Linked DNA regions of Mus musculus. The protein of the gene in region 1 purifies or fractionates together with the protein of each later gene. This does not show direct contact. Links are inferred from orthologs where the notes say so. Each region holds a gene or a part of one and is shown on either strand. Other genes may lie near its edges.

The links. Proteins that work in one complex are often made in the same cells at the same time.
Region 2: the proteins of Tada2b (region 1) and Taf6l purify together in Homo sapiens (affinity purification with mass spectrometry; 3 studies listed by BioGRID and IntAct, counting the BioPlex papers as one, with this or other methods). This does not show direct contact. The link is inferred for Mus musculus from reciprocal best matches to the Homo sapiens genes TADA2B and TAF6L.

Annotation. Positions count from the first base shown.
Region 1 is NC_000071.6:36,481,961-36,485,704, forward strand, and holds the start of Tada2b (transcriptional adapter 2-beta), read right to left. Parts: upstream 2,326-3,744; 5' UTR 2,098-2,325; coding exon 1,828-2,097; intron 1,130-1,827; exon of another isoform or gene 1,048-1,129; coding exon of another isoform or gene 1,018-1,047; intron 1-1,017. Other genes in the region: Ccdc96 (coiled-coil domain-containing protein 96), read left to right, coding at 2,692-3,744. UniProt on the Homo sapiens protein: Coactivates PAX5-dependent transcription together with either SMARCA4 or GCN5L2.
Region 2 is NC_000085.6:8,783,810-8,787,553, forward strand, and holds the start of Taf6l (TAF6-like RNA polymerase II p300/CBP-associated factor-associated factor 65 kDa subunit 6L), read right to left. Parts: upstream 2,508-3,744; 5' UTR 2,401-2,507; intron 2,019-2,400; exon of another isoform or gene 1,824-2,018; intron 1,370-1,823; 5' UTR 1,321-1,369; coding exon 1,313-1,320; intron 186-1,312; coding exon 26-185; intron 1-25. UniProt on the Homo sapiens protein: Functions as a component of the PCAF complex. The PCAF complex is capable of efficiently acetylating histones in a nucleosomal context. The PCAF complex could be considered as the human version of the yeast SAGA complex.

The sequences.
Region 1 (3,744 bases):
GCCTCTGTTCATCTGAGTTCATCGGAGCTTTGCTCAGCTCATTTAGAGGGCCTTGTTCTCCTGGTGTCCTCCTGACCTCTGGCTCTTATATTCTTCTGCAGGGTTCCCTAAATACAGCCCAGATTTCAAGAGCTAAAGCAAGCGCAGTGCTGAGACTAACACTCTCACTCTTTTCAGTGTCTCCTCTGGAAATAAGTGCTAGAGGACTGGTGTGAGGAAAGAAAGGCTCTCAGAAGCAGTGACACGCAGGCCAGAGATCAGTCAGTAGTCTTGACTGAGGTGAGAACACCTCAGGCAGAAGAAAGGAAATGATCAATGGACTCCGCGTGAGCTCACAGAGAGCCATAGACATTGTCAGGCCCTGCAGGCACTGGAGTGTAATCTAAGAAGCAGAACTGAAGTTGCTGAGGGCCAACAAGATGCGGCTTATGCTCCAAATGCCCTATGTTCATGTGTGAGAAGGGTTACAGAACAGAAGGAAGAGAACGGTAAAACCATGAGAAGTGATCACGAGAGGTAAGCACCATCATGGGTCAGGCCAGAAGAGTAGGTCAGTAGCTACATTATGCACATCTTTTCAATACATGACCACTGACCAATTGGATGTGGTTGATGGCTTTAGGTTGGCTCTGTGTATAACTGAGGACAAGTGAGTCTTCACAGGCAATCAGGTAGAGAGGGATCACCAGGTATGCGACAAGCTCCAGAAACAGAGCATATGAATGCCACACTTTCAGCACTGAGGCTCTTCTTCAAGGTCCTTCATGTTGCCTGATCTGTACAAAGCATATGCGCAATACACACCAATAAACACCACTTAGAGACAAAGTAACCCATTGTTTTTAGAGAGCAGGAGCCAGTGTTGCTCACTGGTAAGACATCTGTGGAGTAGACTCCTTCCTAAGTGGGGAAGTGGGTCCAGAAGGTCACTCATTCTACGACGATCTGAAACAGGAGGGCAGTAGGGTTGGAGTAGGGGAAGCTCGGGGAAGCTAGGGTCAGAGGGCCCTAACATACCAGGGAAGAGTCTGGACAGGAGAGGGTCATGCCGAGCTCCCTGCTTCTCTGAAAGCTTGAAGATGTGACATATTCTTGGAGGCAATGGTGACAATGCAGCCAGATCTCATCCCTAACATAGGTGAGGAATAGAAAGGAGAGCTCCTTAGAGACAGCCAGAGAACAACCAGGAGCCCAGCACACTATCTGGCTGGCACACATGAAGGCTCTTACTACCAGTGAGCTACCTCTACAGAAACCTGACAGCTAGAAAGCAGACCCCAGGATCCATGCCTCTTCAGGAACACGCCTTTGTTCATTCTTTACTGTCCACCCATCACACCATGTCCTGGGTGCTGTGGAGACTAAGACTTAAACAAGATACTGCTACTCATTGAGAACCTTAGCACAGGGCACATGCTGACACCCACAGAAAGCACACGAAGCCCTGAATGCAGACTAAGTGCAGGCGGGACGGGCAGCCCCAGGCTTCTGGCCTTCCCCACCACTATGCCCAGGAGAACACAACCGTACTAGGGGAACTCAGCAAAGGACAGTGGGATCTAGCTTGCTGCCATCTGACTCAAGGATAAGCCTGGCAACGCACAGGGCCTACCCTCTACCCGCGTTCAATGCACACCTCTTGAGGACGAGTGTGAAGGGCAGACAGCTCCGTGTCGGGGCAATGGGTCAAGGCCCTGCTCTACCAGCTGTGTGACCGCTGGTGACCAACACGTTCCGGACACAACCATCCGACCACCTGCGGCCCTCCGCAACGTACACCGAGCCAGCCAGCCATGCCCTCCCTTCTAGCCGTAGCCCGCCGCTCACCCAGTTGCCGAAGCCGAACTGCTCGATGGCGTCCAGCAGCAGCTGCTCCTCGCGGCTGGTCCAGCCGCCCTCCGCCTCAGGACCCCAGAGTGTGAATCGTCCGCCGTCTACCAGCTGGTAGCCGTGGTAGCGGCGGTGGTGGCCGATCTCCGCGCCGGCCGAGAAGCACTCGGGGCACAGCTCGATGTCCTGGCACTCTGTGCAGCGGAAGCGCAGCGGGCTCACCTCGGCCAAGCAGTACACGCAGTACTTCTTACCCAGCTCCGCCATCTTCCCCCGCTCGCCCGCCGCCCGGCCCGCAGCCGCCGCGCCCCCGGCCGTCAGCGCCCCGCCGCCTGCCGGGCTCGCTGCGCCCGCCGCGCCCGTGCCGCTGCCGGCCGCTGCCACGGCCGCCCCCGCCCAGGCGCCGCCGGAGCCGGCCAGGCGGGCCGCGTCCCGCCTCAGCACGCAGGCGCCCTCCGGCCCGGCCCGGCCGCCGCCGCCGCAGCCGCTGTCTCCCCGCCGCATCGCGCAGGCGCCCCCCGCGCGCCCTCTCGCGGACAGCCGAGTCTTTGCTCTGCGCCTGCGCGCCGGCGCCTCCCGCGGCCTCATGGACTGGAGGAGCCGCGAGGCCCCGCCCTAAGCCTGTCAGCCGGCGGGGCGCGGACCGGAAGTAGGCCGTGCGGGCCACGCCTCTCGGGAACCAGCGTCCAATTAGCGCCTCCCTTCACCTGTTCGCAGATCTTCATTGGCCTAATATTGCCGGGAGGTGGAGAGAAATGGAAGGCGGGTGACCAATCGCGGGGCCCACCGCGCGCCCTGGTTGCCCCGGGAAACCTAACAGCAGGCATCAGCCGGCCTCAGAGCGGGGCCGGCGGGTCGAAAATGGACAGCCACTACGGGGACATCGAGGGCAAAGACCGAGCCGAGGAAGGCCTGGCCAGGCAGTCGCTCGAGATCAAGGTTAGCTCCGAACCTCTGACTCCGGCCAACCCTGTAGAGCAGGAGCCAGAGCCGAAGCCAGAGCCGGAGCCGACGCAAGGGCGGGAGCCTGAGAGCGAGACCCAGCCGGTGTCGGACAGCTCAAAAGCGAAGGATTCGGAGGGGATCGATTACGCGCATGTTGAGGTCCCGGAAAGTCCGGGGGCCGCTGAGACCGCGGGCGAGGCCGTGTCCCGAGAGCCAGAGAGTCTGCCACAGACCCAGCCCAAGACCAAGCCGGAGTCCAAGGAACCAGAGGACAAAGACGAAGACGAGGATGAGGACGAGGATGAGGACGAGGACGAGGACGAGGATGAGGATGAGGATGAGGATGAGGGAGAGGAACGGGACAGGCCAGAGAAGCCGAAGGGCAAGGGGAAGAGGGAGAAGAGGAAGGAGTCACGGTTCCGGCCATCTCTACCGCTGACCACAATTGTTGAGGAGGGGGCTGCCCCAGGCCCACAAGCTGCGAAAGAGAAAGCAAGGGAGTCACTGAAGAAGAGAGACAGTGAAGAGATCGAGGGGACAGATCGAGAACGACACAAAAGCACAGAAGAGCAACTTCACCCTGGAGAGGCCAAGGAAGAGGAGAAACAAAAAGGGGCGTCCACTGAAGAGTTTGAGTGGACAGCGGACATGCAGAAGCTGCAAGAGCAGCAACTGCGCGGCGAGCTGGTGGAACAGTACCACTCCCTGCTAGTGGAGCGGAACCGTTATCAGCGCTACAACATGTACCTACAGCAGAAGATTCACGAGACCCTACGCAAGAAGGGGCTGGAAGCAGCGGCGGAACCTGGGGACAAGAGCGCTGAACCCGAATCTCCCGAGAAAGAGCAAGCATACTTGCGCTATCTGGCCATGCTGGAGGAACTGAAGAAACAAGAGGCAGACGACTTAGAGTGGTACCGTCAGGAGGTACGGGAGCTGAAGCAGCAGTGCCAAGAGAAGCAGACCAGG
Region 2 (3,744 bases), on another chromosome or scaffold:
GAGAGGTGGACGGAGAGCAGCACACCTGTGTGGCCTCTCGGAGACGGTAGCACACATCTTCAGCGAGCAGAGCGGCCACCTCGTCACTCAGCTCTAGACCTGTGCTCTCTGCCATGAGCCGGACCGACTCCCGAGGGATCTCCACAAACCTCCTCTCCTCTCGTTCTGACATGGCCCCGGTGGAACTGCAAGTGGAAAAGAAAGGTTGAAAACCCGCCCAGTATCTGAGATTCCTCCAAGGGTGAGGCAGGCAAGACCATCTCAACCATGCCTGCTCATCTTGCTTTAAAAGCCACAAAGACAGAGCCCAGAGGCTCAGCACAGCACGACCCTAGTCCAAGATGACACTCCCAGGACTCCAGCAAGGGTTCCTCATTCCTTTTTTGTTTTTGTTTTTTTGTTTTGCTTTTCAAGACAGGGTTTCTCTGTGTAGCCCTTGCTGTCCTGGAACTCACTTATGTAGACCAGGCTGGCCTTGAACTCAGAAATCTGCCTGCCTCTGCCTCCCAAGAGCTGGGATTAAAGGCCTGCGCCACCATGCCCGGCTGGGTTCCTCATTCTTTATCTCCAGAACAAGTGGGCAATCTACGTAGCCCACGTAGCCATCCTCCCAGTGATTCCTGTTGCTTTTGTACTAAACAAAGATACTGGCCCATGATGGGCAGGCTATGCCTGTGCCTTTCCAGCATCTGTCTGCAAAACCTTATCTTCTTCTCTTGTGATCTAGACTTCCACCCACGGCCACCTCTATTTCCTTATTTCAGGCCATTCTGTTTCTTGTTTGACACTGTCCCTTCTTTGTTCTCTCCAAATCTCTTTGACTCAGTGACCCATCACCTACTACCTCCTTAGATCCCTGTTTGACTGTCAGGGAGGCCTTCCTGGGTTGTATAACTGTCCTTGTCAACTAGGAAGTGAGTTCAAGGTTACCCTAACAACTTAGACTATCTCAAAATAAAATGTAAAAAAAAAAGGCTGGAGCCCGGCAGTGGTAGCATGTACCTTTAATCCCAGCACTTGGGAGGCAGAGGCAGGTGGATCTCTGAGTTCAAGGCCAGCCTGGTCTACAGGGTGAGTTCCAGGACAGCCTGGGCTACACAGACAAACCCTGTCCTGAAAGAAAGAAAAAGTCTGGAGCTGCAGCTCAGCACCAGAGTTTTCCTAACACATGTGACACCTTAGCTTCGAACAGTCTGTAAGTACCCAACACAGCTCGTTACCATCAACTCCACTCTGTACAGGGATGCTGGGCATCAGCATGCAGCTCCCCAGTAACTGTAAGTTGCACAATAGACCAGGTCAGTACGCTCACCTTTGCATCCCAGGCCTCCAGCAGGGTCAGCACATACTATACCCTCATTAACACTTGCTGAAAAAAAAAAGGATAGCTGTTCCAGACAATGTTGTCTATTCAGTCCTAGAACTCACTCTCTAGACCCTGCTGACCTCCAATTCACAGAGATCTTTCTGCCTCTGCCCACCAACCCATCCCGGTGCTGTTATTAAGGACATGGGTCAATACTTCTGATTTATTCACTTTTATGTGCATTGGTGTTTTGCCTGCATGTATATGTCTGTGTGAGGGTGCCAGGTCCCTTGGAACTGGAGTTACAGACAGGTGTGACCTGCTATGTGGGTACTGAGAATTGAATCTGGGTCCTCCAAGGAGACTAGCCAACTGCTCAGCCATCTTTCCAGCACAGCTATTTTCTAAACACATAAATGCCCATGGCCCCCCCAGTTAGTAATATTGTATGAGATATATAATTGTACACATTTGTCCATTTCACAAAGCTGAGGAAGTCTTAGCTCAGAGAGATTACCTGAACTGTCCAAGACCAAACACTAAGCACCGGGTGATTAGACTGCTGGGTCTCAAACACTGTTGTAATTCGACTCAAGATAATATATTCATGAGCTGTAGGCTTGTGTTTGAACTAGGCCTGGCTTTGTAGCCCAAAGATTTGAAGTCCCATCACTAGACTCAGCACTGGATGAGTACGCTTCAGTTTCCCCATCTGTAAAATGGAACCATGCAGTGCTGCGCAAGTGGAAAGCTAGAAGGGAGTTTCTCTATTATGTAGCCCTGTCTTGATAGCTCACAAAATTCGGTCTGTGACCAAGGTCTCCCACTCTTTAGTCTCGTCCTGCCCACCCTCAGTTCCAAGTCCTCCTGACCAGGAGGCGTGGGAACCGATCTCCAAGGACTTCTACGTTGTGAATCCTCCCACCCACCTTCCTCCCTCCCAGCTCCAAAGGGTGCAGGGTCGAGTGGGGAGATCAGGGATTACAGAACTTGTGTCACGTGCTCGGTGAAGGGGGCGGGGTCCTGCGGGCTCCGTGGCTGGTGAGCAGAGCACCGCGGGAAGCGATCCCTGGATCGGGGCAGGACCTGCTCACCTGCAGACTCCGGGGTTGGGAGGGCGCCTGCTGGGGAGGGACGGCTGCTTCCACTCACCGGCTCACGGTAATTCCCTCTCTCCGCGCCCAGGCTCCGCCCTCCATATGCGGAGCCAATCGGTGGCCGTCTACTGAGTTTTCCGCCCACCAAAGAGGCATACCACCTCAAGATTGGCCAGTGTGTATGTGCGGGTAAAGCCACTAGGGCGACGTTGGTCACGTGAGTGGCGCTTCTTAAAGCAACAGCTCCTTTGGGTTAGCTAACAGGTGTGTGTTCCCTGGCTTACACTGAATTAGAGTTCACCGCATAAAACAAGCTGGTCTTGAACTAATAGGCCTTCCTTTGCTTCCAGGATGCTGGGATCAAAGGTGTGTGCTACCATACCGCTTTCTAGTTTCTGATCTTAAAAAAAAAATTTGAGCTGGTGAGATGGCTCAGTGGGCAAGAGCACCCCACTGCTCTTCTGAAGGTCAAGAGTTCAAATCCCAGCAACCAAATGGCGGCTCATAACCATCCGTAATGAGATCTGACTCTCTCTTCTGGAATGTCTGAGGACAGCTACAGTGTACTTATATATAATAAATAAATAAATCTTTTTTAAAAAAAAAGTTTAATTCTGTATGTGTGCTTGTACTTGCAAATAAGAGAACAACTTTTGAGGGCCAGGTAGTGGTGGAGCATGCCTTTAATCCCACAAAAAATACGGGGGGTGGGGGGGGGGAGAGGGCAACTTTGAGGAGTTGATGCTCCTGTAGGCACCAACAGTGGAACTCAGGTTGTTGGGCTTAAGCAACAAGCTCTTTTACTTGTCTTCACCACTTCACCAGTCCTGCATAAAGCTGGATACCGTTCACTTGGTAACATGCTTGTCTAGTACTTGCAGGACATGAACTAGCCAGCACTTGGGGGCTGAAAGTGGGAGGATAAGAAGTTCAGTATTATCCTTGACTAAATATCAAGATTAAGGCTAACCTTGGATATAGGAAACCCTAAGAAAGTAAAATTTATTTACTGTGGTTTAGGTGATCCAACCTACAGCTTTGCATTTGATAGACAAATGTTCTGCCACTGAGCTATATCCTCTATTTATTTTTTATTTTTAAACACACTGGTTGTATAAGGCAAGGTTATCTGGAGTCACAGAACGAATGGGTAGTCTCTATATAGTAAGGGAATTTGTTGATGATGTACACAGTCTGTTGTCCAACTCTCCAACAACGGTCAGCAGGAGCTGTGAATGGAAGTCCAAGAATCTAGCAGTTGCTTAATCCCACGAGGCAAGCAGAAGAAGAGAGAATTTTCCTTTTTCCAATGTCCTGATTGTAGGTCTCCAGCAGAAGGTG